Drosophila melanogaster: one gene and its partners. The protein of the gene in region 3 purifies or fractionates together with the protein of the main gene of each other region. This does not show direct contact. Each region holds a gene or a part of one and is shown on either strand. Other genes may lie near its edges. The genes, in order: dah, Ras64B, hzg and babo.

Region 1 (8,709 bases), on a different chromosome or scaffold from region 3:
CTTTCGAGTCAAGGGCGCCACATCCATCTTGTGGCTTCCGCATCCATGCTGCCGTTTGTCCAGGAGAATGTGCCGGAGATGCTGCTCCAGCCGGCCCGGTTGGCCTTCTGCGCCAATCTTCACGTGGGCCGACCGCGGGATGACCCCACTACATTGGTTTTAGCGAGAAACCTAAAGTTCTACGAATTCCGGCGCAAGGATCTGGTGCACTACATCGATTTGAAGGTCACGAAACTAAAGCAAATAGCCACCCAACTGGAGGCCTACGACGGACCGGTTTGTCCCTTTCTGTCCAAGCAGGAACCCACTGACGAAAAGGTGGACTGGAGCATGCTGGATCCGCCGGAGGATTTGCCCCTCAAATTTGGAAAGTTTGTGTGGCAACGGGAGGGCATCTACCTGTTAATTCAGTGCTGGAAGCATCTCGTCGTCCTAAAGAGGCCCAAGGATCACGGGGCCAACTTCGAACTGGTGGCGGATCACAAGGATGTGGTGGACTACCAGATGGTCGAAGGTCCCATTTCCTTCCAGGCCGTTGTGGAACTGGAGTTCGGCAATGGCAAGCGTCAGCGTTGTGATTTCCAGGAGGATTTCTTAAATGAGGAGCCCAGCACGTCCAAAAATGCGGGCTTGCCCGCGAAGGATTTCGAGAACCTGCTGCAGGAGGTGCACCGCGCCCAAGCCGAGCTCGACAGCCAGCGAATGCAAAACCAGAAGGAATTAGCCCACGTCCAAGACCTTCTATACTTCGGCACGCCGGGCCAGCGTTCGCTGCTCCTTGAGGAGAAGCAGCCGCTCCGACGACTCGGCGATGTATGGACTCGGATCTGCGGCGATTATTTTGTTTGTGGCACTCTGCTAGTCAACATAACTGGCACCAATCGCCTCACCATAGTCAAGGAGTTGTATCCGATTGTTGTAATCGAACCACACACCGACTTTAGCGTGGAGCACCGCCTGTACGAGCTGCCTCTGCAGGCGGATGGCCAACCACCCGAGGACTACGACCAGCTGGCGCAGTTTTGGGCCTGCCAGGATCAGCATAGCAGGCGTCTCAAATGGCGACCGGTGGAGAAGGAAAGAATACTACCGCCGGAACGATCTGCCGCGATGGTAGTGAGCCTGCGTCTGGTCGATCTTCTTGAGGCAGAGAAACTCATATTGATGGCAACGTACGAGATGGGCGAGGATGCATCCCCTAGGCAAATCCATCTCATTACCTTCGATGTGAAGAAACTGCTCGATAAAACAGAATCGTTGGCACCCACATTTTCGCCCGCCACGCTGCACCAAGACTTTTTGGCCGTTATTATGACGCACACGGCACGTTGCTCCCTGAAATTGGAGTTCCAGTCGGCCCAGGATTGCACGACATTCGAGCAGCTACTCGTCTCCACGCTGCAGTTTCAGTTGATCCAAGCCCAGGAAGCAAACAAGGAGCCGAGTGAGTAGCTTTGTCAAGACCACTTGTTGTCCCTTTTAACTCATAATCCCTTACAGCTTCCGACTTGCTGGACGACAGTGAGCCTGGGTCTCACTTTCAGTCTTCCAACATCGCCGCCGATCCTGTCCAGCGTATTTTCTACAATCGCCAGCCGCAGTCACAGTGGTGTGACACCTTGCTGCTTCGCGACGATCCCGGAAAGCATTGGCATGTGTACGCCAGAACGGACGATCGATTGCGTCTGCTACTGCATCGCCTGACGCGCGATCTCCTCCAGCTGCACTGCAACCTCAATGTGCTAGAGGTCGCTGAGCACAACATGTCGCCTGCCGACATGGAGATGGAGTTGCTAAACAGTCTGTTCGAGGAGATGGACGCCTGGAAGGTTTTGAGTGAGCCGGCAGCCAGTGTGGAGCAGCGCCGGGAGCAGCTGACGCAGCTCCACAAGGCACAAATGGCCAGCGATGTGTTGGCTTCTATGCTATTCACCGATGATGATGATGACAATGGGGCGTAAATGCGTTTTTTTTTTCTTCTCTTTGCATTGGAAAATCTACAAAGTTGATATTTTGTATGTAAATGCTTTGTTAACAATGTGTTTTTTGCATTGTATATTTTTATAAAAACATTTTGTTGTATTGCATTCTTGTCAGAGTTGTAAGTTTACAAATTAAAGCATTTACGCGAATGTTAAAGCACATGGGAAAAGGAAGAAGGATATAATAAATGCATGACTCGGTTGTGTCATTTTGTCACGATTACTTTAGAACAACTTTACAACTTAAAGCTAAGTGGACTTGGTCTGGCTGGAATCGATGGGAGTTGGTATCCGATCCGGATCCTCACGTGCTGATGCGCCGCTGCTGCTCCTCGCTCTTGATGATGCTATCGAGAACGTTCTCCAGATTTTGCGTGGCCGCCGACAGTTCGGCATTATCGCTGTACGAGTCCTCGACGATCTCCTTGACCTTGTGCAGCAGCAGCTTAAAGTTCACCATCTCGGTGTCGCGGCCATCTCCGCCGTTTGCCGGCTGCTGTTCCAGTAGAGCACCCAGCGGCATGGGCAGCGGCAGAGGAGCCGGCAGGGAACCAGGTCCTTGTCCTGGCTGGACACTCGAGCGACGCTGGTCGAACCACAAGCTTATGTCGTTGAGCGAGTAATCCGATTTGTTTGCCTCCAGATAGCTGCGATTCAAGTCGGCGCCATTTACTACAAGAAACGATTAACTTAGTGGAGCTGTCTCATGGCTCTGTTGAAGGTTCTCTTCTTACTGGAGTGCGTGAGATTGGCACCCACGGGCGCATACATGTCGAATAGCATCTGTCGCTGAGGCGTGCTGGAGCTAAGGAACGTGGAGCTGACTAGGGGCGCAGCTGAAGGCGCCACTTGGGCAGCTGGCGCAGGTGGCGGCGAAGTTACCGCTGAGGCATGCTGCAAGTGTATATAAATGGAGTTAGCTCAGCTTAAATGGGCCGAATGTTTGGAAAACTCACTGATAGCTGTCGCATATCCTCGATAATCTGCAGCAGAAAGCACTGATGGGCGCTCAGAAACTGCGATATTTCCGAACTAGATGCGGTGGCCACTGTTTGCAGCTGGGTTTCCAGCTTCCTGAAATGCAAGAGAACCTTAAGGCTTGGCTAACAAGTGTGGCGAAAGAAGGGAAAACACCCACGCATTTTGCAAAAGCAATCGATCGATGATGGACTGCAGCCTGCTGGACGCCTCGCTGGCTAGACCCGTCAGGGAGCAGAGCTCCTGCTGCTGTTGCTGCAGGACAACTGTGCGGTCCTTCTCCTGGCACTGACTGCGCACACTGCGCGTCTCTGCGGGAATGGGCGTGGCAGCGGATTGACCCAAGGCGGGCCCACTCTCCTGCGCATTACAGAAGCCGCGACGCTCCTCCTCCTGTGTTTTGCGCGGCATCACCAGCCAGCCGCACAGCCTGGCCAGGTGGCGGGTCCAACGCAATGGCGGCTGATCCTCCACGAAGACCTCGCACATCCGATGACCCGGCTCGTGGCGACCACCAGCGAAGCCCACTGCAAAGCAGGGCAGGCACAACGATATATCCCTACACACCTGACACCGGAAACGTATGCCCACAATGTGCTCCTTGCGGCAGCCGGCACAAGAATTACTGTGAATCAAATGCTCGGTGTCCTCGATGCGTTTCACCAGTGCCAGCAGATTGCCATAGATCAGGAATCTCGTCTGGACACCCGCTCCCGTCCAGAGTTTGTGGAACTGCGGCTCGGTCAGTCCACCAACGCCATGCGGACAGCGGGCAAAGCACTGCTCCATAGCCAACGGAAGATTGTGGACGCCATAGGCCTTGGCCTCGCCCAAATAGCTGAGTAACTTGCTCAGCGTGGCTAGGAGCTGTTCGAATGCATATCTGGAGATGATCTGCGACTTGGGATCGGCCAGCAGGCCAAAGATGTCGCCCACCAGGTGATCGCTGCTATATAGCTTGCACAGCAGTATGAAGGTGATCCTGATCTCTAACAGGGATATGGAGTGTCTGCGTTGCCTAGCGAAACCAATCAAATATCAGACATATTCTTAAGATGCCAGAAACTCAACCCACGGATCGTAGACATTCCAGAAGAAGTTGGCCAACAGCCCGGTTGCCCTGTCCAGTTTATAGTTCGCATCCTGGTTGAAATGGCCTAGTTTCTCGCAGGCAAAGTATACATCGTGCAGCAGGGAGGTCAACTGGAATGGAGGAACCATCAGTTCCAGGCCACCACTCAAGTTATGGCGATCCAAAATGGCCAAAACCAGCTTGTAGGGGATTTTTCCAGCTGCAATTTGAAGGTTAATCCTTGGGGACTCCTTCGAATGGACCACCTACGCGACTGACTCACTGTGAAATATCTTTTGCAGCGCCACAAATTTACTGGCGCACCGGTATACCGTGTACTTGTAATTCCCGTAATCCCGCTGCAAGTCATCCATGATGGTGGATAGCTCTTTGTCCACCTGTTGCTTTTGTCCTTGGCCACCTTGGGATCCCTTTTCGCGGGCAATGGACGCCACGGCCTCGGCGCTATTTCGCAGTTTTGTCAGCTGCACGGGCACCGACGATCTCAGCATTTTGTCAGGCGTTTATTGTTATATATTTCCCTTGATTCTCGAATTAATTTCAGTCTCTTTTAAACGCGTCGTTTCTCGCGATCTCTTCCTCTTCCGTTAGCGCAAAAGTCAAATTGTGTGGCGTGAGGTGGCAACGCCGCGCGTGTTATCGATATCACTTCGCCGAACCGTTAGCGCTTTAAATTTGATTCAAAATTATTATTATCATTAATTAAGTCATCCGTTCGTTCTAAGAATATTTGACCATGATATAATAATTGGTAAATAAGTTTGAGCAACGGGAAATGTAAACTGAACAACTTGGGTTCACCATAGTATTTTCCCAATTTCAAAAACAAAACAAAGTTATTTAAAAACCCTTCTTTTGAATGCGAATAATTACCCAAAACGAGGAAATGGAAAGAGTGTCACATAGATTTTAAAATTAAATATATATTTTATGTATATTTGCATCATTCCATTGCAATTACATTCACTTATGCTATTTTGTTTTTCATTTACTTTGCTTTCGATTTAAAATAGTGGGTTTCTTATCATTTCGCTTGTTGTTTTTTGTTTGCTTATATCAATATTATAATATGCCAAGTTTATATGTGAGTGTTGTGGCGGGGCGGGGCGGGGCTGGGCGTTCGAAGAAGGGTTCGTAATTAGTTTATTTAACTTTTTTTTTTGCCTTTTAAAAGCATTCTCCCGCTTCCGTATGCGAATCCACGACAAACGCACACAGATGTTTGCGTTCACATTATATCAATCACTAATTATAATATGTGTTTGGGCGTGTGTGTGTGTGTGTTTATATGTATGTATATAAAGATCGTTCGCTCTTCATTTGCAATGCGCGTTTGCCATTTATGCTAGGGGGGGCGTGAGGCGAGATATAAATTTCCATCGATTTGCTTAGTTAAAAGTACGGCCATAATCGTAGCTGATGGGATTGGGGCACATGGATGTTGGGGATGTTCCTAACTCCACCTGAATCCACTGCTCTCGTCGACTGAAGGATTCAAGTGAAGGCTCGATTTTTACAAGGTTTAAGGTATAGTTTTAGCTCACTTAATTGCACATACTTCTATAGATTCTATATGTATAAAGTTCCTTTCTTTCAGATTAAAGTTCTTTCTTTCGCTGCGACTGGTTTGCTGGCTGTGTTTCTGTTTTGGTTCATCGAGTTATTTGAATTGCTCGTTTGATTTGTATCTGCAATTGGTTTTCAGTGTGATGGCGGCTTGGTTTGCGGTTGAGAACTTGAAACCTGTCTGCTTAGAGTATAGAAAGTTAAGGGTCTGTCTGCAAATCAATTTAGCATTTGTATATTTCGAAATGTTAACTAAAATGATCATAAGGTACGAAATCAAAGCGAAACCACATCGAGATCCATCCAATGTGGCTTTGTTCTTCATTTTCGGGGGCGGTCGGTCGACAAATAGCGCTGCTTCAGAGTTGAATTGAATAAATTATGCTATGCTAAAAGTTGGGCTACAAGGTTTCTCTGTTCAGTTTGCACTTATACAAATTATTATTATTATTATGATAGATAGAATAGTTTACAAAACTAGACTAACTTAGATAGTATAGCATTAGCTACGGGGCTTACAGCTATATTTATTTACAATGTTATTATATCTTAATTTAGTTAATATCTAATTTGGTAACTAATTGCTGGCTTGTTATGTACAAATGCCTGTTTTTGTTTTTGTTTTTTGTTTTCGCTAAACAAAATCAACTATAGGTAAACATAAAAAAAATTGCGTTTTAAATTGTATAATTTTCGTTTGCTTTTGCTATTAAATATATATATATATATATAGATATATATATACATCTATATTTTTATATATATATATATATCTATATATATATATTTATGTAAATGTATGTATTATATTAAAAATAAAAATATATACACAAATATTATTATATACATAAATATAAATATATATATGTATATATGTTTTATATGTAAAATTATGAAGTATAAGGGTATCTTGACAAAAAAGTTCTTTTGTAGAGACATAGAAAATTATGCTCCTGATTTGTTTTTAGGTGGCGGCGACGTCTTGCCCAGGTTTCACATCTCCTCTTGCCTTTAATGAATAAAACTGACATATATTGGATTAGCTTGTGTTTGGGTGTGCACATTTCGCAAGTTAGACTTCGGCGTAGTATGCACTTGATCCCATTAATCCCATTCAAAGCAGACAAAACGGACGCGTACAAGCGGTTCCACGACTACGATGTAGTGCAGCATTCCGTCCCGCTCATTTTGGCTAACAATCCCCCATTGCGTTGGCCGAAAGCTGGACATATGCACTATCAATTGCATAAACTGTGGACCAAACAATGGCGGGATTGGCATGGAATCTATTTATAAACCGGCCTTGTGGTGGGTGTGGTTTGTTGTTACATCTTCTTCGATCGGGTGCGAGTGTGTGTTTGTGTGTGTGTCTGAAGGGGTGGTGGTGGGTGGAGGAAGGGTCGGCGTACTTGTGTGTTTGTGTCTAGGCGTGGCTGTGAGGAGAACCCATTTAGAAACGATAATTCTCATCGGCCATATGAACGGCCCACAGAAATTTGGTTCTTTGCGTTTTGTTGAATATCTTCTCAATCGGCACGTCATGCTTTTTACACCTGCAAATGGATGATATATATATATATATTAGTTCTCGTTGAGTGGAATGTGCTGCTTGAAGGGAGAGACCACTCACCAAGCCACCGATATGCGTGGATCAAGATAGTTTAGCTTAGATGTGCCCAGGGCAATGGTCTTATTCTCGTCTCTATCAGTCTCTTGTAGTTCTAGTTTCTTCAGCTGATCCCTTAGGCGCTCCAGCTGTTTGCCCTTCTTCTCGTCTCTCGACTGCATTGGTTTATAACAATTAAACATACTGCTAGCGGAAGAACCTCTCGAATATACTTACATGATACTCGGACTCGCATTTTTCGATGGCTTCCCGCTTGGCCTTGATCTTCTCCTTCAGATTCTCCATTGACTTCTCGTGGCTCTTGGGCACGGAACGCTGATGGTTACAGAGGATGGCCACGGCACGGTTGGCGCGATTGTAGGCCAACAGCTTTTCCGGTACCGTGGCGCTCGGATCGGTCAACAGATCCAGCTGACTTTGCAGTGTTTTCGATGCGTTGTACGTACGGAATACCTTGGCCGTGAGACCTATTGCGTTGGCCAATAAAAAGCGACGAGTAAGTATGTTGAAAAATAATTATAGATAATTTGTAAATACGCACCTTCCATCAGCTCCTTGAGATGCTCATTAAGCACCTGCGTGTTGAGACGATCGAAGAGGTCGTCGCCCTCCTTCTTGTGCTCCATGAACAGTTCGAGGTTCTTAAAGACGCGCTTCTCCACCTCAACCTCGTTGTAATACCGAATGGAGTCCTTACCGGGGAAATCAAAGACCACCACGTTCTCCTTTCCGTTCAGTTCCTTGTGGAGCTGGACATGCTCCACGCGTAGCGAGCAACAGCCCACGGTATCGGCCTGATCCTCGTCCTTTTCGTTGCCTGCTCTCAGCGCCAGTTTGTCGATGAAGTAAAGGGCCACCGCTCGCTGGCGAACCCTCATCTCCTTGGACTTCCACTCGTCGCGATAGGTGGCACGTATCTTATCGATTACCTTGTCCAGGCGTCGCGCCGTCTCGTACTTAATGTGATCCTTCTCGCCCTTGAGTTTCGAGGAGGGATTCAACATGATGTACTTGACCTGTCCCTGCACATTCTCGATCCAGGAGGCCAGCCAGGTGACCGTGTTGTCGTGGCGCACCTCCTTCCAGCGAGATCCGGGCGGCGGTGAAGGCACCTTTGAATCTTTGCCACAGTTAATGGACACATCGCTGGCTTGGATGCGCCGCTTGATCATGCCCATTTTGGGATGCTCGCCACGACCGCGGAACAGGCCTGGCGGCTCCAGGCGGAAGTTACCGATCTTCTCCTTGTGCCCATCAATCATGCAGAATCCGAATTCCTTCATCAGCGCCTCGTTTTCGTTCTTCTTGATCAGCTTCTCCTCCTTGCTGGCTGCCTTGCGCTTTTCGGACTCCGCTTGGAAGTAGTTGAACATCTCCTGGAAGTTGCACTTGCGGAAATCCTTGATAATCTCCCTCTCTCTGGGCGTCATGGACTTGCGGAAGTCCTTGAAGAAGTTGTTATT
Region 2 (4,420 bases), about 12 Mb from region 3:
GCTATCTACTCGCGGTGCTTGCAGTCCAGAAAGAGCTGTGCCTGAGATTGCACGAAGCGGAAGATCTCGAGCAGCATTTCGTTGGAGGTCTTGCAGTTGCCCTGCTGTGTCTCGAAAAAGGTTCCAGGACCAGCTCCGCCCACCGAACGCTTGCCCCAATCCGGCGAGAAGGTCAACTATATAGAGGAAAATAAAATGAGACATCAGAAAGGGATATCCTGCAGCGGGATATGAATTCACTCACTTGACACTGGACGCAGGCCAGCAGCATGAAGAGCACGGCTGCAATGAGGACTTCGCTCTTGGGATTCATTCTGAGTTCTATGCTGGTCCACTTCGATTCAGCCCGCTTTTATACCCATTGAGCTCGAAGGGAAGACAGCTGGTAAGTAATTAACACAGCACTAGCAAGGATTCTTTCTATAATTGCTTGGATTGGGTCGGAATTTTCAATTCCAGTCGAGAGCGTCATTGAAACAATCTTCTATGTGGAAGCGTTTGTGATTCTCCATGTGTTTATTAGAATTGCGCATATGTTTAATTTTAAATTTAATTATATATTTATTTATATACCATTAAATAAGTTCGTTAAATTAAGCAGTGTATAAGAGTTAAAACAAGATTGCGGCTAAAGCAACTGTTGCAATACATTTGGCGAACAATAAACCATAGGATCCGGATCCGACTGGGGACATGTACAAAAGTATCGTTAAGTGAGTTGTGCGCGCCTGGCAGCTGCGGGTATAGTACAAAAATGCCGTGGGTGTAATACAGAGTTTGATGTTTTAGATTTCTACGCGCGAGAACGAGGCACTCAATTTGTTACAACAAAATCGGTTTGTAAGCAGTTAATATATGTATACGTATATATTAGTAGTAAATAACAATACAAATTACAATAACACATTATTACGTTTTGGCTTAATCGAAACAAACGTTCTGGGCTTAGTTATTGCATTATAAAAACAAATGGCCTGCGAGCCACGATTGGTAATAATCATGAAAACATTCGTCCTTAATTGTTGTCGTTGATCAACAAAATAATATTACAAAAATATATGTAGAAATATATATGTATATATAAGTTATTCGTGTGAATCTGTTGTATATATCTACCTATGTTTCGTGTTTCTGTTTGCATTTTGCATTGTTAGTTGTCAGTTGTAAGATTCTTCGTAGCTATTTGAGAGTGGCGAAGTTTATTCGATTCGTTCGTTGAATGCGCCATGCACCTGGGCAGGTAAGAAATGCACTTCGTTTGGGCTCGTTGACACGTTTTGTGCGGTTACTGGTTTCGGGTTACTGGTTTATCGTCTTCTCAACGGAATTCAAAGCTCAGTCGACGCGTGTTTTTCAAAAAATTTGGTGTTATAATCATTATATGTTGGCTCCTGCTTCCGCTGCGGCATTCAGGAGATTCTCTTCCATTTAGTTCCTTCTACATCAGGCAGCACTTCCTCTTGCCCTTCTTCTTGTAATCCTGCTCGATGAAGGGACGCTCGGCGATCTGGAACTTGCGCACGATCCTCACGAGCTCGTGGAAGGCCTGATCGACGTTGACCCTCAGTTTGGCACTGCACTCGATGTAGGGGATCATCAGGTTGCGGCTGGTGTTCTGCGCCTCCTCCAGGGACACCTGCTGCTGGTGCTTCAGGTCGCACTTGTTACCCACCATCAGCATGGGGAACTCGTCGCGATCCTTGACGCGCAGTATCTGGCGCTGGAACTTGGGGATCTCATCGAAGCTGGAATGATCGTTGAGCGCGAAGACGAGCAGGAATCCCTCGCCGGAGCGCATGTACTGCTCCCGCATGGCACTGAACTCCTCCTGGCCAGCCGTGTCCAAAACTAGGTAAAATATCAGGTTATTATGAATCTGGTAAGGGTAAAGAAAGGAAGCTTACTGTCCAATTTGGCTGGCACATCGTCGATGTTGCACTGCTTCGTGTACGAGTCTTCAATGGTGGGATCGTAGTCCGTGACGAAGTAGCTCTGCAAGATTAGGATTAAAATTATTGTACCGCCAGCTGCCGAGGCCACAAAACTACATATATAAACATTATAAGACTGGGTTTTTTATGTGGGCGGGGTGCGTTTATCATTCCGCCTTTGATTTGTTTACACACGTCACTTTTATCATTCACTATCCACTATGCTCTATATATCTTGGGGAAAAGCTACAGCATATACACGAAAGATGTGCAGATGACGCAAATGACTAAAAATAAATGGAAGCGGGCGGTCATTGTGGTCGTGACCATGGCACAAACTCTCGGGGAATCGATCGGCACACCCAGAAAACTGGGGGCTGCGTCTAACGCAACTCCCTGGTTCTGGGCTCTGACCACTTGATCCCCAATTGGAGATACACACGGGGGTGTGGCCACCGCGATGATGATGCTGCCAATGATGATGATGATGATGATTGTGTTGGTGATGATCTCGGCCCGAAACTATGCACACGCATGTCCAAACACAGACGCACATCACAGTCGCTTGTTGCTTGTTTGTTGCTCTGGCCAAAACAAGGGCCGTCCCCCTGCCACCGCCCCTGTGCGCCATCGCCCCCCACTCCCACATTCAAACGCCCCTGTGGAAAGCGACGTCACCAGGGATTGGGCCGATGCTGGGCGGCTTACCTGGATGAACTGTATCGTTATCGCTGACTTGCCCACGCCGCCGCCGCCGACGACCACCAGTTTGTACGTTTGCATCTGCATTTCCCCGTTTAAATCGACCAGTTGGCCAGCAAAATTATTTTATTTTCCTTCCTCGACAGCAGCAGCGTGACCGTTCTCGGTTAACTGAGAAATCCACACTCGCACTGAGACGGGTGCGCGTCTCTGCTAGACAGTAATATCGATATCAACTATCGCTAGCCAGCAATCGACTTTCGCCCATCACTAAGGCTAAGTCATCAAACGAAAAAAATACAGAAAAATTGGCCAAGGAATAGATAAAATTCTTTAAGTCAAGTTAGCCCACGCGAAAAAGCGAACGGAATAAGCTAAAAAGACATATTTACACGCAGTGTGTTCATAATCGAGTTGCCTTTGCGCCCGTGACCAATAAAACGCAGTGAAAATGGCCTTGAAAGTGCTGGTGGGCCAAAAGCTGATGAACGAGGTGGTGAAGTACAAGCCTCCACCACCCAAAAAGCAGGGCGTTACGTCCGCTGCGGGGGCGGGCGGCATGGAATGGCGGGTGCTGGTGGTGGACAAGCTGGGTATGCGCATGGTGTCCGCCTGCACCAAGATGCACGAAATCAGCGCCGAGGGCATCACCCTGGTTGAGGACATCAACAAGAAGCGCGAGCCGCTGCCCACGATGGACGCGATCTATCTGATTACGCCGTCGGATGAGTCAGTGCGCGGTCTGATACGAGACTTCGAGAACCCAGCGCGGCCCATGTATCGCTATGCCCATGTCTTCTTCACCGAAGTTTGTCCCGAGGAGCTATTCAACGATCTGTGCAAGTCGTGCGCGGCCGGAAAGATCAAGACGCTGAAGGAGATCAACATTGCATTTTTGCCATACGAATGCCAGGTGTTCTCGCTGGACTCGCCGGACACATTCCAATGCCTCTACTCGCCGGCCTTTGCCTCCATTCGGAGCAAGCACATCGAGCGAATTGCCGAGCAAATAGCCACACTGTGCGCTACCCTTGGGGAGTACCCAAATGTGCGCTACCGCAGCGACTGGGACAGGAACATCGATTTGGCCGCGTCGGTGCAGCAGAAGCTGGACGCCTACAAGGCCGACGATGCCACCATGGGCGAGGGCCCCGAGAAGGCACGATCCCAGCTGCTGATCCTGGATCGCGGCTTCGACTGCGTGTCGCCGCTGCTGCACGAGCTCACCCTGCAGGCCATGGCCTACGATTTGCTACCCATCGTCAATGACGTGTATCGCTACACGCCCGGCCCCAACCAGCCGGATAAGGAGGTGCTGCTCGACGAGAACGACGACTTGTGGGTGGAGCTGCGTCACGAGCATATCGCTGTGGTCTCCACCCAGGTGACTCAGAACCTTAAGAAATTCACCGACTCTAAGCGCATGGGCTCGGCTGACAAGTCGTCGATGCGCGATCTCTCGCAGATGATCAAGAAGATGCCGCAGTACCAGAAGGAGCTGTCCAAGTACTCCACCCACTTGCATTTGGCCGAGGACTGCATGAAGTCGTACCAGAACTACGTGGACAAGCTGTGCCGCGTGGAACAGGATCTGGCCATGGGCACGGACGCCGAGGGCGAAAAGATCAAGGATCATATGCGCAACATTGTGCCCATCTTGCTGGACGCCAATGTCTCGAACTACGACAAGGTTCGCATCATTGCCCTGTACGTCATGATCAAGAACGGAATTTCCGAGGAGAACCTGACCAAGCTGTTTACGCATGCCCAGCTGTCGCCGAAGGATC
Region 3 (8,539 bases):
TCGAGACTATAATTGCCCACATGCCCCATACACACAATTGAGCATTTTTATTCGGTGGTCGCTCGGTCACATACGCTTATCTAATCGAAATGTTTGTTATCTGGCAGGGGGCACACTATGATATCATTCTCGGTGATTCCAAGAGCAACAATAATGCCACACAGTCTCGACCTTCAGAATATTTATGAAGTTTTTTTTTTTTTTGGTGTTCTTTTTCACTGTTTTTTCAATTTCAACTTCAAGATAGAGGCAGCTTAAAATTTAAGCCGCACCGAAGAAGACGGCAAACAAAGTTAATGGCACGTGATATAAATGGGCAAGAAACAAGTGTCAATGGCTACAGTAAATATTGGAAAAATGAATGAAATGCTTTAACTGTGCAAATTAAATGTTGTTGATCAATTAATTATTTTTTAAATACTTACTTAAATAAAAAGGGTAAGGAAAGTAAACAGTTTTTCTCACTGTATCAATTGTTACACCTGCTTTAGAATTTTTGAAAACTGAGTTTCCTATCTGCCTCGTAAAGATGGCTGTATAAATTTGCAGCACCCCAATCCCGCCTTTGTTTTTTGGGGGTTGGCCTTTATTTAACCCCCATCGTAGTTCAACGAACCCATATTAACCATGGAGATAAAATCTCCTTGTACAGAACTCGTTGACCTTTATCGATTCAAAAATGAAAAGCTAAAGGCATCATTTTCTAAAGTGTTTCTTCTGTTTCTGTGAGCAATAGTATGTATGTACATATATAGGAAATAGCAGCACACAAATCATTTGCACGCAGTCCGCTCATCTTGTGCCGTATATAATATTATTTTTCAATAATTAAGCATTGCATCTGCATCTGTTCACTGTCTGTTTCGTGTATTTTTGAGCCCATTATGTCGTAATTTAGATACACTTCTAGATAGAGGGAATATTGTTGCAAGACAACAAATAGCCAATTTAGCCAATTAAAGGGATTTTGAATGCACATTTTGAGACTAAATACCTTAAAAACAAAATCCAATAGCCTTTAATAGATTTTATTCATAAAATAGTATAAACAACGTTCGTTTAATGTTAAAATTGCGTCTTAATACTTAACCATTTTTGGGCTAGCGCATTAATTGTAAAAACCTCGAGTTCGTTTATACAATCAAATAACTAAATTTTCGTAATTTACCTTCACGTTTAGTTATTTTTGGATCTGCCTAATAATTGCATAATATAAAATGTTTATACATTTAAATTATAAATATTTCAGAGCGTACAACAAATGTTTATAGAATTTAACGTTACTAATTTCGGTGTACAGCAATAAATGAAATAATTTAAAAAAAATTCTATATATTAGAACAAGTGATATGTTTATGAAATAAAAATTATAAACATTTCAGCGTGCCGCAGTAAAATTTTCAGCATTCGGTCCGATCCAGTTTTCCCCATTTTCCGAAATTTGTTTATGCACGAGATCTTTGAACTCAATTCGCACTCTTTAATTTAACATTATTTGAGGCTATTTTTAGAGACCCCCCTCAATAAATGTGAAAAATAATAAATTTTTGAGAAAGGGCGTTAAATCGAAGAAAAGCGCACTGTCTGTGTGTGCACAAGCAATTTGCCTTCCAAGACCTTGAGAAAATTGAAAAATCACAGCAGTTCAGCTGAGGCGTCTAGAAATGAGATACTAGAGAGCATTTGCGTTTGCCCATAAAAACAATATAGATGTATTTATAAGCGAGGGGGAGTCCATGGGGCGGGAAGGCGCAGGGGGGGGTTTGGCGGTATGGCGAACACATACATATCTATATAAATATTTATACGCGGTGAGGCAAAGCAAAAAGCACTTAGGCGGCGGCACCCACTCTCAAATAAAAAAGAAAAACATATTTCAACTGTTGCTGTTCGCTTGCCGGTTTGCCCCTATTGCCGTGCTTTTCGCACGCACAGGCGCCCCACACACCCACTCGCTCTCTCACGAAAAACAGCTGAGATCAGAATAATAGTAGTGGGTTTTTTTGAAAAGCATAAAAAATACCCACTGTTGCTTCTATTTTATGATAATACACATACTTAGCTTACTCATAATGGACCTAACATAGAAATCAAACGCATACTAAAAAACGAAGCAAGCACATAACAATTCTAAACACAAACTTTGTGATAGCGAGTTGGAAATTATTAAATTTTTGTAAGTGTACTACAGTCTTGACCACAAGTGTGGTACATACAGTTACGGTGACGTTTTGCTCATTATCTCACGCTCTCTCATTTGGCCAAAGCTCAAACTAGTAGAAACCGCATAGATCCCTATTTGGAATGCAATGGGGGATAACTTGATTTCAAGATGTAGGCTCCCGAAGCGATTTTCAATATACATAAATATGTATTTATTACTGGTGACACATATAGATCGGCGCATCGATAAAGAAAGACATTCATATGCGGCAAACTGTGAGCACAGTCGATCAAAATCAAAATCAAATTCGAAATCAAAGTGAGCGAGCGACGTCGATTAGCACCTAACCGCAAATATTTTGTATATAATATACCAAATGTAGCCCGTACATGTGTGTGGACACATGTATAAAAGGTGCAGCGGCGACCGCAGATTAGATTAAATTAGTTATTACTTTACTTTAAAGCGTTCATCGCGTTTTTTTTTGCGCTCAGTCGGCCCCACCCTCCTATTTTTTTTTTATTTGTTCACTCTCTGCACAAATAAAAAAAATCTTAAGTCTTAGGTCAAGTACACTTTTTTTTATTGATGCTCGTATCATTTCGATATGGAAATGATAGCGAATGGCTAAGTTTGGTCACGTAAGTGGCACTTCTGACAACAAAAGTCGGGGTTTAATTAATACCACTGACCATTCGATTTTGTTCTTTTTGTTAGATATAAATACATATGTCTCGGATTGTATTTTAAATATAATGTGGTTAATCTTTACTTTTCTATCGCATTTTCTTCTTATGTACATAGTTAACCCGCTCTCTTTGGGCTCTCACCATTCATTTATTCATTCATTCATTACAACCATATCGCAACCTTTAAGCTACGCTTTTGTTGTTCGTCTGTTGCTTTGCTTGTTTGTTTGTTTGCATCACTGTAAAAAACAACACACACAACTAGTTTGATTGTGCTCTCCCTCTTGCTATCTCTCGTTTTATACCGGTTTTCCTGTATTTTTCTCAACTTTTTTTTACGTTTTTTACCTTGCTTTTTAGTGTGCAATTTAATTGGCAGTTTCTATTGTTGGACCCTCGAAAGTAAACATGCAAAGGCAGTTAGGCAGTTAAGCGAACGAAAAGAAAATAAGATGGGAGGAAAGTAAAGGCTTTCGTGTCGAAATTCCATGACGTCACATGTGCCGAAAGACGTCATCAATTGATTACAGGTGGGAGTGGGCCAGTGGGTGGCAATTGGGCGATGGGCGGTGGGTGGTGGCTGGCTGGTGGCAGAGTTGCAACTGCGTCGCAAAATAATTCAATAACCACAAAGCGAAGCCAGCAAGTGGTTAGATCATTCACAATGGCCAACGAACAAGAAAACACTGTGTGCTGAATAAAAAAGGGGCGAAACAAACACAACAGACAGGCACAACTGGCGTGAAAATAACACTATTATTAAGTATTGTTATTCATCGCAGTGAAAACCTGTGCAAGCCCATTTATTTAAATGTAAATGCATGACTGGGGACATTTTTGATTAATAAATTGATACCTTTGAATATTTAAAGGTAATTTTTGCTAGCATAGTACAGTTATCAAAGTCGAACAATCTATTAAGAAAACATAAGTCTGATTTTTACACAATAATGTGTCTATAAATTCAAACTCCTAGTCTACCTTGAAAGTAGAAAAAGTACAGACATTTAAAATGGAAATTAGATTCCCAATTAAAGAAAAGAAATTGCCATTTAATTGGTTTCAAATTACAGAAAGTACAGCAAACTGGTCACAGTCGTGCAAACAGATAATAGCTAACGTTAATTTAAATATTTAGCTTAGACAGAATTGAACAACTTTTTCCAGCTACAAGTTAATTGCATGTTGTTTGAATATATTTTTCGAATTAAAAGCACTTTTGTCTTTCATCAGTTTGTTTTTGGAGTGGTTCCTGTACAAATTAAAAAGGCCAATGCCATTTAACTTGCTGCTACTTTCGGAAAGTACGACATATGTACAACTAACTTATTCCCACAATTATATTGACCGCAATTGGGTGTGTTAGAAAGGTCAGCGGGGTGTTGGGCCCTCTTCTTTGGGAGGTTATGGTGGGTGGTGGTTGGTAAGTGGGGGAAACTTCTTGGCAGCGGACAAGTGTCCTTTCGTCTTTGTTGTGACGCCTTCGAGTGGCGATGAGTCATGAAGGGAGCTTTAAATATATGTATGTGTATGCGGACTGCGTTTTCAGCGATTTCCCCAGTTTGGCCCCCATTATTTGTTCTCACCTTTGTCATTGGGATAGCTGGGATAGACGTTCAGTTGCTCGTCGTCGCGGGAAACTTGCGTTATTATTGATGTTGCATCCATTTAAGCACTCGGTTTGTGGCTCCACTTCGCTTAACAGGTTGATAAATCGGATTCGGATTCAGATACTGATTCAGATCGGTTTCGTATAGGATAGCTGCAAAATGTTGCGCACACATGAGAGATAGAGATACATTGGATATGGCAATTATCGCGAGATGATTCCATGTTTTCTTCGTATATATGGTAAGTGTCGTGCAGTATATATGTCGTACATATATAATACATCTACCACGTATATATAGCTCACACACACACACATGCACCAATTGATAGCCTGCCCCAGACAGTGGAATTTTACAATTACGCTTTGGCCGTCCGTTCGCTTCGTTTTATTTCTCGATGCAAATGGGTTTCCCTTTGATATTCACCTCGCTATTTATCGCTCTCTCTTTCGCTCTGTTGCACTTTCGCCTCTCTGTTTTAGTAAATTTAAAACTTTTCAACGAATTTCAATAAAAAACACTTTCTTTCTTTCCTTCGCTCTTGTTTTTGGTTGCGCTCATTCTTTTACTTCTTTATCCGCGTCTGCTTTTCGCACACAGCTTCGCAGCGTTTTATTTATAAACGCCCACACAGACACAGCACTCACACACACTCTCGCACGCACACTAGCTCGGCCGCTGGTGTTTTCGTTATTTCGTCTCGTTATTTATTTATTTTTTTTATTTTTTGCCATTAATTAATCGCGCAAAATAACAAAACGCGTGTGTACGTCGAAAAAAAGTAACAGGAATAGCGCAAAAAACAAAACGTGTGATTAGTGTGACCGCGGTGGATGCGAGACTTATTACCAAGTGCAAAGAAAAAGTGGTAACATTTCGTGTTTACCTTAGAATCACAGGTTGAAGAAAGGCTTGATTATAAGTTAATTACTTACAAGGAGAATGTAGAATTCTATAAAAGGAGCTTGTTTTGAACTACATAATTATTTTCATAGATTTCCAAATTCGATAATCAAAGGTCATACTATCTGGTGCAATTTGGGCTGCCAACTGTGGTCAAGTTAATCTATAAAATTCTTGATTCAAAATGCAATTTTAAGAACATTTTATTTCAAATTATATCAAATCAGATAAAAAACAAATGTCCATGAAATGATTAGGTTAGTTAAGGATATTTTCAATCAAAACACTATAAGAAATAGGACAAGGGAAGCCAAACATAAAATAAAGCCAAATTTAACTATAAACTAGCTTAAACGGCAGTGCAAACAGTTCATCTGGTCTGGCAACTCTCCGCCGAATTGTTGTTACGCGAGCGATTTCTTTGGTCTTATTTCTAGTTAAAATTATCAAAGAAATATTATAAAATGTTGGCCGTACGAAGTTCCCAGAGATTGGGCCTACGGTAGGCCACCCGTCTAATTTGAAATAACCAAAAGAAATCCGTCACTCGACTATTTATTTTTCAGTTCCCTGCTACCGTCTGCCTTCAAAAACGTGGGATTGGTCAACTACTCCTCTTCGCAGTCCAAAAACGACGATGGATACTCCTCTTCGGACGACGAAAAGCCCACGAAGAAGAAGGAGGAACCTGTGGAAACGGCGGCCCAGCGGCTGAACCGCCTGTTGGGCACCATGCAGGCCACGGATCAGCTCTCGGCATCGGACTTTCCACGTCCTGGTGATGCCAACAGGAAGCGGAGGGAGGCCCAGAAACAGGAGGCAGCCGCCAAGAATGTTCTAACTGCGGCCAAGAACATTGCTAGCATGCTGGGCACCAGTGAGAGCGACAAGAAGCAGACAGAGTCTGAGCTATTGGCCAAACTCCTTGGCCATGGAAGCGAGTCCTCTTCAGCAGCGACCGGAGAAAATCAGACGGCGGATGTTTCGGGATCTCCTTCTGGTGATAAGGAACTCAATCTGAGGTGTGTAAAAATGATTTTCTCGCATTAATGGATAATCTAATAAAATTTATTTTCCTTACACAACAGTGATATTATCGTGGGCATGAAGATCGATCGTCGTCAGCAGCCGCAGCAGGTGGAGCAGACCCGCGGCGAGTACGTTCGCCGCTCGCTGGCTTCCAGATTCAAGCCACAGAATCGAGATGGGGCTTATCAGCGGTCACAGAGGCAAACCAAACGAGAGGCTGAATCCTTTACGGGCAGTGTCAATTTGTACGGCGGGGAACCGTTGGGTATCTTCAAGGATACCCAGCTGCCGATTTCCAACGACATCCTTTCAACCTGGTCACAGCTGAGTGAGCGGGAGCTTAGTTTACAAGCTTCCCATCCCCCGGCAAACTACTTCGAGCAAATGGTCCTGTGGACGGATCAAAAGAAGGTGTGGCGCTTTCCCATCAACAATGAGCAGGATTGGGAGGACGAGCATAACGTGGACTTCTCGGAACACATTTTTCTGGAACAACATCTCGAGGATTGGTGTCCTAGCAAGGGGCCTATTCGCCATTTCATGGAGCTCGTCTGCGTCGGCTTGTCCAAGAATCCCTACTTGACTGCCCAGGAGAAGAAGGATCACATTTTCTGGTTCCGTGACTATTTCCAGGCCAAGAAGGACATTCTGAGGGATCTGATTAGCAAGGAGCCAAGCAAAAGTATTTCTGCTTAATGTTTTTGTTTGAATATTTGTTAAAAATATATTTTTGCTTTATAAGACCAATCCGATATATAGTTATATATATGATATTGTGTGTGTATATATGTGTGTATAAGAATGTGAGTCCTTTAAATATCCTAATACTTCGAAGGCTGTGCAGACTGTGCGCGGAATGTGTGAACCGGGAACGGGCTTCAGAAGAGCAGGATGCGTTTTTCCACGGTCTTGCGGCAAATGGGACACCCCTCAATCTGGTCGCCACACATCTGGCACGTGCCGTGGCCACATAGGAAGACCATGTTCTTTATGCGGTCAAAGCAGACAGGACACATAGTCTATAAGATAAATTTGAGGATCAGTCACTGAACATATTTTCAATCTTATTTGAGCTCACCTGTTCCTTGATGTCCTGCAACTGCTGCTTCAACTTTTGGACATCATCCATCTGGAAGTTGTTGACATTGGAAGGAGCCACCATCGCGTTTCCAGCTGCTGACAGATTCGAGACATTCGAAGAGGCTGCTGCAGCGGCCAGGAGATTATTCTGGCTATTCAACTGATTGCTGCTGCCCGCCACTGGAGTAACCACGGTGTTGTTCATGGCCACGCTATGGCCGGAGGCATTGGCACAAGCTGCCGCTGCTGCAGCTTCCATGAAACGATCGTCGGGCAGTGGCAAGCCCACTGTTGCCATCGCTCCAGCTGCCACGGACACCTTCTCCGGTCGTCCACTACCTCCGCAGCAAAGGCTGAACGATAATATCTCATCGATTTGCGTGCGACACAGGACGCACTTTTTCATCAAAGCACTGCAGTGCTCACATGCGACCATATGGCCACAGGGGCGGAAGAAGACGGCTGCCCTGCGATCCGAGCACACCAGACACTCGTCGATCTTTTCGCGCGAGGAGACGGTCTCCCGACAGATGAGGCATTTCTTCACCCTCGGAGCGCAGGTCTCGCAGCAACTGACATGGCCACAGGGCTTAAAGACCGTATCCCGCTTGGCATCCGAGCAAACCAAACACTCATCAAGACTGGCTGACGATTTCGGAGGATCCTCGTGCAGGGACTGGCTCATTTCGTTGGCGATGCCGTTGAGGGCAAATATGGAAGATGATGAGGCAGCTGGGAAAGTGGATGAGGCAGCTAGGCTGGAAAGCGGCATATTGACTGAGGAGGACTGATTTAAGCTACCACTGGCTGCTCTTGCCCTGGCACTCGAACTCGTTCCAGCTACATTTCCGGGCAACTCAGAGTCGTCGGTCTTCCTTTCGTTGTAGCACTTGACCAGGGTCTTGCAGAGATTGGGATCTGGGCACAGGTCCAGTGGGGTCTGCTGCTTGCGATTCTTTAAGGTCAAATCAGCTCCATTGGCAGCCAAGAAGCATGCAATCGAAGCAGAGGCCTTCTTGTTATTAGCATTTCTCAGGCCCATCAAGAGCTTACCAAATCCTTCC
Region 4 (8,389 bases), on a different chromosome or scaffold from region 3:
TTCGCTGGAAGCGTGGGTGTGCAAGGTGTGTGTTAGCCAGGTATGCTTATGCGTGTATGTGTTTCTCGTGTGAAATCAATGTGTTACAAATTTGAGTATACCAAAAAAAACTACGCAAATGAGGTGGTGCAATGGCATGGGCGTGGCTGCTTCGATGGCTGGTGGTGGTTGAATTGTTGAATTGTTGGGCGGTGTTGGCGGTGCATTGCTGGTCTCACCTGGTAGGACACCACTGTAATTCTCACGCGTATTGCAAAAATCTTCGGCGCAGCACTGAGAAGAGCCCGCTTCCGAATTTAACTTGCACGAGGTAGGATCTTCAGGTGGCAACTGGTCTGTTATGCATCTACATACATAATATTTAGTTGGGGTTTGTTTTATCTACTAGTTTGCTTTAGCTTTTTAGTACTACATTACTAAATTACGTAGGAGATTAGCACTTGTTCTTCTTGTTCTTGTTGCAGTTGTAGTTGTTGCAGTGTGCAGTTGCGAAGCAGCTTTGGTTACCACTTACGAGCTAAATTTTAGCAGCAGCCCTTTATTTATTTATTTGTTGGTGGTTGCTCAGCCAGGAAAGGGTTGGGGTGGGTTTGTCAGCTGCAGCAGGTGGATACAATTGTGTTTTGGGTGCAAAGGCAGTAAGCGGAGTCGGTCGCGGTCATCAAAAAATACCAGGGAATATGGAAGGGAGCCACTGCCAAATGTGGGAGAGTTCGGGTTTACTCTTACACCAATTTATCAGAACAGTTCCGTTTTTCACTTTCCCACACAATTTTGTTATTATTCTTCCAGCAGGAGAAAATCCAAGTGAAAATCGGAACCCAACCATACATTGCTAGACAATAAACCAGGAAAAACAGCGTAGGTACATCATAAACTTTTTTAAAGATTTTCGTAAGCTGAAAACATTCGTGGAACCTCGAAAATTGGGATTTTAAAAACAATAAATCCAAGGAAAACCACATACATCCCGCGAAGGAGGGCAAGAAACCTCATCGCGAGCGAAAGGCGAGTGGGAGTGCTTCCAGGACGAATCGAATTCACCCCTTGAGTGGAAGCTCTGATCTCTACAAACTACAAAGATACTTTGGCATGCATAAGGATACGTGTAATTTACTAGGATAAGGTGTTGTAGGCTGGATTCCGTATAAGATTTATGGTGTGTATTTGTGCCACGCGGAAAAGCAGGGAGAATAGAAAAAAGTGAAAGGTAAAGAAAAAGAAAAATAAAAAGAAAAGAAGAGGTGGGAGTCCGAGAAGCGAAAAAGTGCAAGTAGTCAAAGTAAATATGTAATAAGCTAAGGGGAAAACTGAGGCGGTGTGCACACCTGAGGGGAAACAGACTGAACTAAACCAAAAATTATTGTTACAGATTATTGAATTGTTATAATTAATCTATTAATCATATTGATGCAGTGCTAATTAGGCGCAGTGAATTAGAGAAGGAGTGCAAACTAAAGATAGAAATTGTATTGTTGTTGGTTGTGTGGTTTTTGTTACTTGAATGCGGCTGTACCTGTTTCAAATATCCTCTTCATAATCTCATTCTTATTGCAGAAATCACTCTTACAGCAATCAATCCTATACGTATCGAACCTTTCGTTACTGGTGAGGCATTCGAAGGGCTTACTCCGTTGCATATTGTACTTGACAACCATGCAACTGGGTCACCGTACAGCACAGTCCACAAATATGTGAACGAGCGGGGATAATGCGATAAGTTCGATATATTCATTCGAGTGGAGGAGCCGAAGGGAGCGAAGGAAATATCGGGAGATAGAGAAAATAAAATAACAATTATACGAAATTAGTATTGCTTGGCATTGGTTGTTGGTTGCTGCTGATGCTGCTACTGCTGCATCTGATTCTGATTTTGATTCTGATTCAGCTGTAGTTGTTGCCGCCTTCGGCTTGTTGCTAATTGAAGTGGCAGTCTGGTTAGTAGCAAGAAGAGTATTATAATTATATTGATTACAGTGTGTGTAACGCCGCTCTGGTTTTCAGCAGGTCATCATTAGTAGTGCTCTGCATTTGGGGTTATGATCATTTCAAAACTTCAACTCAACGAGCATAAGTGGGGGAAACAGTCCAAAGAACGATCAAAACTGGGCAACTGGTTGTTGAACGGCGTGCGAGTGAACAGAGAAATGGGAGCAGTCAGAGAGGAGGGGTTTTTGGGAGCGAAACACGTGCATAAGCGCACGCACCTTGGACGGAGATTTGCCGCCCTTCTTCGACACGATCACTCCTCTGGTCCTTCGTCTTTGGCCACAGAAATCGGTTGCAGAAGTCCCTGTCCTTGCAGCAGGCGTGGGCGCCATTGCGACCCACTGGGCGGGCGGTTGGTCCGCCGTGCAGCCCGTCGTTACACCAGATGGAGCGGCCCGGCGGAAAGATTTGAGACTTGTGCAGACATCTGCATCGCTCGATAGATCGATCGTATCAGACATATTCACACTGGCTGCTCTGAGGGGCAAGTGCTAACCTAATCAAAGGCCTGCTCCTCAGGCTCTCGGCACTCACCTGTAGCTGAAGATGATGCTCCCATCAGAGTTCTTCTCCACGGACGTGAAACAAAAGCCGTCCGTTTCACATATATTGTTCGATTCCTTGCACGTGTCACAGTGGCATTTTATCTTGTCTGCAGAACATAAAAGGTAAAATTAATATAAAGATCTATTTGCAAAAAACCAAACTTTAGAGTACTATCAAATCCATACATTCCTACCAAAAATTTGTTAACTTTAAACCGACTCACCAACAAAAACTTATTCTTCGCTTAACGATATATCTTCACTATTTGTAGGTGATCCTAACCAAGCACGTGTTTCTTGTAATATTTAATGAATATTAATTACTTGTGGAAAGGTAAGCAAAGGAAGAGGTCCGCGCCTCATTTGCCACGGTTAATGATTTTCTTATTATTTAAACAAATAAAACGCAAAAGCATAGGTTAGCAGTAGCAAACTTCTCGAATTAAGAAAATGCCCCGACTCCGATTGAAGCAAATCAATCAATTAGGCGCTGGCAGAAATTAACTAATTAGAGAAATAAGAGACCCATAAATCAACCACTCGCTGATTGGCATCTCCTGACCACAAATTGGGATTTGCCATAACCATGCCCCCGGGGCACCTGGCCGGGCACACGCTCGCCCAGACAGTCACATAGACATCCATAGCCACTACCATATCCACATCTACCGCCACCGACACCGCCGAGAGCGTGATGAAACAAAAACAAAACCATTTAGCATTAACAAAGCAGACGCGGAGAAGACAAGTGCAAAGTGGAGGGCCAGACAATGCGACCAGTTTCCCCTTCCCCCGGACAGCGAGAAGCCAGTGCCAGTGCTTAGGCCTGCTTTTTTTTGCACCGACTGCAGTTGCAAGTGCCCAAGTGCAGCAAGCAAATGCATCCAGACGTGGGGGTGTCTGCAGCCAGGCAGCGTTGGAGTGGGCCATGAGAGCTGTCTGGCTCAGCTCATTGACACCACGGAGAGGTGACGTCACTATATGGGAACGGAATCGGAGCCTCAGGCGCAGACGAAGACGGCCTTTTAGAAGCGTTCAGAGTCTTTGAGGTGTTACAGTCACGCGATATACACACGGAGAAAAGATCCCTATGGCATCGAAAAGATCGCCAAGTATTAAGTAACCCTTGGTAAGATATTTTAATTATTAAACAACAACAACAAAAATGTCAATATATCGGACAAGTAAGGTATAACCACTAAGCGGTTTCTATCTTCTCCCAATAATGGATTTCACCTTAAAAAAGGGAAGTAAAATGACCTTTACTCTGTGCTGACTTTCCTGGTTAACTGAAGTCAAGTAAAATGTTTGCAAGGCAATACCGGAACAAGTCTGTAAATCTATCACATTCTTGTTGTTTAGATAATTCGGGGTGCATTGTCCGCAGTGTGCTCTACACTCTCGTTAGGCAATCGGAACTTACTTTCTGGCTTTTTCGCGCTAGGCTGAGCAATGTAGATGGGCAGCTGGGGAGTAACAGCAGGGGCCACAGCTCCAGATGCGTCGCCGTCTTGCGGCAGCAGCATGGACACGGCGCTAGCGTTGTTGTTGTCGTGGCTTCTGTTATCAGCGGCCAGCGACGACGATGGCGACTGATAAGCATGTCCAGCTGTTCCAGCTGGAGCCCTGAGCGCCGGCGCTTTGGTCGTCGGTGGCCATTTGCCAGGGTGGGTTGCAGTCGCAGGATCAGATCGAGAGCCATTTAGGCTGGTGTCCATTACGAACTCAATGGGGGAGGCTGCACCGGGGGAGATTTTAGGTTAGTTTCGCACCTGATCCAGATTAATGGAACCGCTGGGGGGTACACTCACCGCAAACAGAGGCGCCGAGCAGAGCGCCCAGGAAGATTAGCCGGAGCGCAGATAACATGTTGGCTATTCGCACCGACGATAGTGTGTGCGACCCGACCCGAGCTATTGTTATTGTTTGTGCAGCCCGAGAGCTTTTCTTTTGTTTTCCACGATCGCACGCACGCACACGCGCGTCGCAAGTTCAAAGTCTGTGGCCTGCAAATGAGATTGTTGTTTCGCGGCAGGACGAGGCGGGGCCGCAGGAGCAGGAGGAGCGGCAGGAGGACACCTCAGACAGCCACTAATTGGCCCCGAACTGCGCATTTATCGCGTAGGACAGGCGCCCGCGAATTCCCACATTTGGCGGGGGCATGGCCGGGAATATAGACTGGCGATTCTCACAATTAGCGAATCTCGATGGGGGCCCGCAATGCGAAACTCGAACTCCACACTCCGCACAAGTTGGTTGGAAAAACTGCTCTGCTCTGCTTTACATTTCACGGACGAGGGCGACTTTTCAGGCGGATTTTCATCACGTGATTGGGGCAGTGGCGCGGGGGAAGTGGCACTATTTCATATTCCGCGGGACAGCCGGCACTTTCGGGTGTCTGGGGCAACCGTTTGTTTATATTAATTGCTGCTATTTTTTCTTAAATGTACAATTTTGTGCAGCGAAAAACCGCGCTGGTGTGTGTGGATTTGCAAACAGTGTGACCGCACCTGCAGTAGTGTGCCCAGGCTGGACTGCCCATGAAAAACACCCACCCGCTAGAGAAGTGCGTAAAAATGCCCAATCGGTTATGTTTTTATGGACAATGATTTTTGTTAAAATATTGGTTGTTTCCAGGATACATAAAAAAATTTCGATTTGTTTTGTAACAGATATTTATTTGCAATAGCTGCAGGTACTGCACCCGTTCCCAGAAACCCAACCAGAACCAAAATGCGGGGCATACGACAGCAAAATGATCATGTCCACTATTTTTACTGCCATAACAGACTGAAAAGGTTCAGAGGCGGCATGCCAGGCTCAGCTCCCTTCATAAATCCTGCGAAAATGAGAATTGGTCAAAATCAATGTCGGTCCATTTGATATTACCCCGCTGCTTCTTCTTCCCAGCCGCGTGTAGATTACAAAAAACATGAACCACAACTTACCCAAATACAGCACAAGAGGCACGAATCCCCAGTGGAATCCAGTCTGGACGACTCCAACCACAAATCCCAAACGATCCTTAACTCCCTCGGATAGCTTCATTTCGTACGGATATTGAATTTAGCTCCTTTTGCGAATTATGAAATGATAACTTGTCTGACTGCAAACGAAGTGTTGGAAAACAGCACTTTTTTCGATATAAAACAGCTGACAGAAACTTTTTGTTAGGTTACTCGTTCAATTTATATTTTCTTGGGATGGCTTTGTCGCAGGTTGCTGGGCCTGAAATAATTTACCAATTTAAAGAATCAGTAAAATTATTTCGAATACAGATTTCTGTTGGTGTGGCAACATTGACATTTGAGCGCAAAATTTAAATTCGCTTCTAAAACGGTCACACCGTTTTGCCCTTTGGGTTTTAATCTGATATTCTTTAATTTATATTTTCCACTATAAAGGTTTTTAACTACCATTTCACCGACAAGTTGTCTATTGGACACATATCATGAAAAGAAAAAAGTGTGCTTGGTCTGAAAAATACCTTTTCGTATTTTTAATGATCCCGCAATATTTTTGCATGTGTACTCCCATCAACTTTAAAGATGTTACATTTCCAAAGTTTCAAATTCTGAAAGCGTTGGAAATGCAACAAGAATTTGAAGTAAGGAAACTTCTTTTTAACGCTCAAAGTTTTCGTTGATTTCTTAACAATATGAAGCATAAAAATAAAAAATACCCCTGCTATCTCTCGCAGCAGGCAAGTGCTCCGTAGATCGATACTATCGCAGCCACTCGAAGTCCCATCTCTAATCTCGAGTCCCTTTCGCACTTGCCCGCTACTCACATGAGTTCTAGATCGTTTAGTTTTCTTGGTTTTCATTTGCTCGCCAAATTTTAGCAACGTTGCTGGTTTAATCGGCTGCACCTGCAATCGCGGTTAATCAGAGAGCGCCGAGCACTAAAGTTCCCATTGCCAAACGAAACGTAAGTGATAAAGAACGCCAGCAATGAGCGAACAAGAGCAAAGCGCACGCAGTCGGGGAAAAATCAATTGATGTTATGTAAGCTCGAATAACCGGATACCGTGTCTACTACTGTTGCAGGTCCCGATTTGCTCGATTTGGAACTGGAACGGACCATGAAAACAAGCAATCTCGGCCTGTACGCTTTCCGTTTAACCTTCGGTCAGGTGAGCACACGCACATTAAACCAGGCAGCCAAACGGCAGAAACAGCATGCGCATTCTGGGGGAAACCTCTGAGTTTTTCGGCCGGGCAAACCAAGGACCACCACAATCGTCGTTGAGAATGCAGCGACTGCAGCCGGGAGACGAGTGTCTGGAGTGCCAGAGTGAAGGCAGGAATCACAAGCTGCGCTACTTTTACATTAATCTCGAGGAGCAGCTGCTGAAGTGCGAGTCCAGGAGCTGTTTGTGGCCACACAACGATGAGGTCTCCTCTGATGAAGATCTGAACTCGGAGGCAGCACTTCCCATCACTGCTCCACAATCTGAACTTTTTGAATCTCCTGCTGCTACGCTACCTTCTCACCCTGCGGCCTTAACGTCCAAACCTCCTCCAAATGATGACGAATTTATATTGGAACTGCTGCAGCAATTGACTTCTGCCACAGAAACCCCCCTTAAGACAAATGTGAGTTCCAGTTCCATGCCAAATCTGCACTCGCCTTCAGAGGAAAAACCCTGCCCACAACTGGAGCTTCCCGACTTAAGCTTTCTGGAGGAGAACAGTACCGTATGCAAGGAACCCCCACAAGCATTGAAATCAGAGCTGGGAGTACCTTCAACTGTCGTCTTACCCGACAGATTAATAAGTCCGCCCAAGGCAAAAGCAGTACAAACTGAGGACACCAAAGCCAAGGAACATGTGGCTCATCTGAAGGGAGCTACGTCCCAAAGCTGGCAAGGCAAAGCTGAAATACCATTACTACCCGCTTGTGTGAAGGCAAGTGTGAGGATGTCTCCTAGCATCAAATCTAAGGGGTCTCCCTTCAGCAGTCCGCCCAAGAAAGCAACCACCCAGCCGCAAGGTCAGTCACCACCGTCAACGCCGCCTGCCGTCAATATTATTATCAGTGTTCCGGAGTTAAACACGGGAATGAACGGCTTGTTTCTAGACGCCATTAAACGCCATTCCACAGAAGCCAAACCCGCGCTACGTGGCGTAGGGAGACGCCCTAAGCGACTGGCCAAGGGAACCACCAGCAGGGGGGGCATTCGCACACAGGATGTAATGCACTTGATCGAGCATTTGGAAACCACCACAGAAGCGAAACTTACGACACCACGGACGTAATAGGCTGGCATTTAGCTTACTCAAGTATTTGAAATAAATTTGCATATGAAATAATGCATGAAACCTCCGGATAAGAATTCAAGTTCGTTTATTTATAAACAAGTCCGTTACGCTATGTTTTTTTTTTTTTTTGGCAACTCAAATTGTGGATTACTAATTCGCGGCACGCGTCTAGAGCATGTTCAAGTGGACAGGAGAGATAGCGCTGCCGACAAGAGAGCGTGCTATCAGTGGAAGTGAACTTTGGAAAGGAGGTCGTGGCAACTGCGTCACGCGGAGATCTGTTTCAAGCCGCGATTAGCTGTTGAGCTGCAGAGACTGACTGATAATGCAGTTGAACGTCATCTAAGCGCTGTGACAGTGATTGCGATAGTGATGTCAGTCACGATAATATGGCATTACATCGACCCTTTGCAATCAGTTCAATAATCGTGCGACCATGTGGGGTAATCGCATTCGTGTGGACGGCCGGGGCACTTGAACCTAGTTGCCAACTGCCGGCGTAAATTGTTTCTGCTGCGTAGTTGCCTGTGTGGGCGGGGGCCGTCGGGCAGTGGGCCAAGTTTATTGTTTGTTTGGATTGATATATATAAA

Evidence for each region.
Region 1: the proteins of hzg (region 3) and dah purify together in Drosophila melanogaster (affinity purification with western blotting; one study listed by BioGRID). This does not show direct contact.
Region 2: the proteins of hzg (region 3) and Ras64B purify together in Drosophila melanogaster (affinity purification with western blotting; one study listed by BioGRID). This does not show direct contact.
Region 4: the proteins of hzg (region 3) and babo purify together in Drosophila melanogaster (affinity purification with western blotting; one study listed by BioGRID). This does not show direct contact.

Annotation. Positions count from the first base shown.
Region 1 is NC_004354.4:15,324,279-15,332,987, reverse strand, and holds dah (discontinuous actin hexagon), read right to left. Parts: upstream 4,647-8,709; 5' UTR 4,545-4,646; coding exon 4,316-4,544; intron 4,253-4,315; coding exon 4,036-4,252; intron 3,979-4,035; coding exon 3,121-3,978; intron 3,057-3,120; coding exon 2,939-3,056; intron 2,877-2,938; coding exon 2,717-2,876; intron 2,655-2,716; coding exon 2,287-2,654; 3' UTR 1,986-2,286; downstream 1-1,985. Other genes in the region: CG9114 (uncharacterized protein), read left to right, coding at 46-1,444, 1,501-1,961; Top1 (topoisomerase 1), read right to left, coding at 7,070-7,172, 7,250-7,401, 7,463-7,713, 7,788-8,709.
Region 2 is NT_037436.4:4,137,479-4,141,898, reverse strand, and holds Ras64B (Ras oncogene at 64B), read right to left. Parts: upstream 2,824-4,420; 5' UTR 2,721-2,823; coding exon 2,640-2,720; intron 1,993-2,639; coding exon 1,905-1,992; intron 1,849-1,904; coding exon 1,439-1,848; 3' UTR 501-1,438; downstream 1-500. Other genes in the region: Akh (adipokinetic hormone), read right to left, coding at 6-176, 245-313; Rop (Ras opposite), read left to right, coding at 3,085-4,420. UniProt on the Drosophila melanogaster protein: May be involved in endocytic processes and/or other transport pathways mediated by vesicle trafficking. May interact functionally with ROP protein. Ras proteins bind GDP/GTP and possess intrinsic GTPase activity.
Region 3 is NT_037436.4:15,999,460-16,007,998, forward strand, and holds the start of hzg (herzog), read right to left. Parts: upstream 5,278-8,539; 5' UTR 4,890-5,277; intron 4,616-4,889; 5' UTR 4,522-4,615; coding exon 4,440-4,521; intron 1-4,439. Other genes in the region: mRpS31 (mitochondrial ribosomal protein S31), read left to right, coding at 5,831-5,868, 5,933-6,388, 6,455-7,091; mib1 (mind bomb 1), read right to left, coding at 7,274-7,414, 7,474-8,539.
Region 4 is NT_033778.4:8,948,986-8,957,374, reverse strand, and holds the start of babo (baboon), read right to left. Parts: upstream 5,037-8,389; 5' UTR 4,404-5,036; coding exon 4,346-4,403; intron 4,273-4,345; coding exon 3,958-4,272; intron 2,642-3,957; coding exon 2,524-2,641; intron 2,417-2,523; coding exon 2,208-2,416; intron 1,663-2,207; coding exon of another isoform or gene 1,517-1,662; intron 347-1,516; coding exon of another isoform or gene 219-346; intron 1-218. Other genes in the region: Tom7 (translocase of outer membrane 7), read right to left, coding at 5,309-5,373, 5,483-5,582; CG8229 (uncharacterized protein), read left to right, coding at 6,788-7,795; CG33199 (uncharacterized protein), read left to right, coding at 6,619-6,669.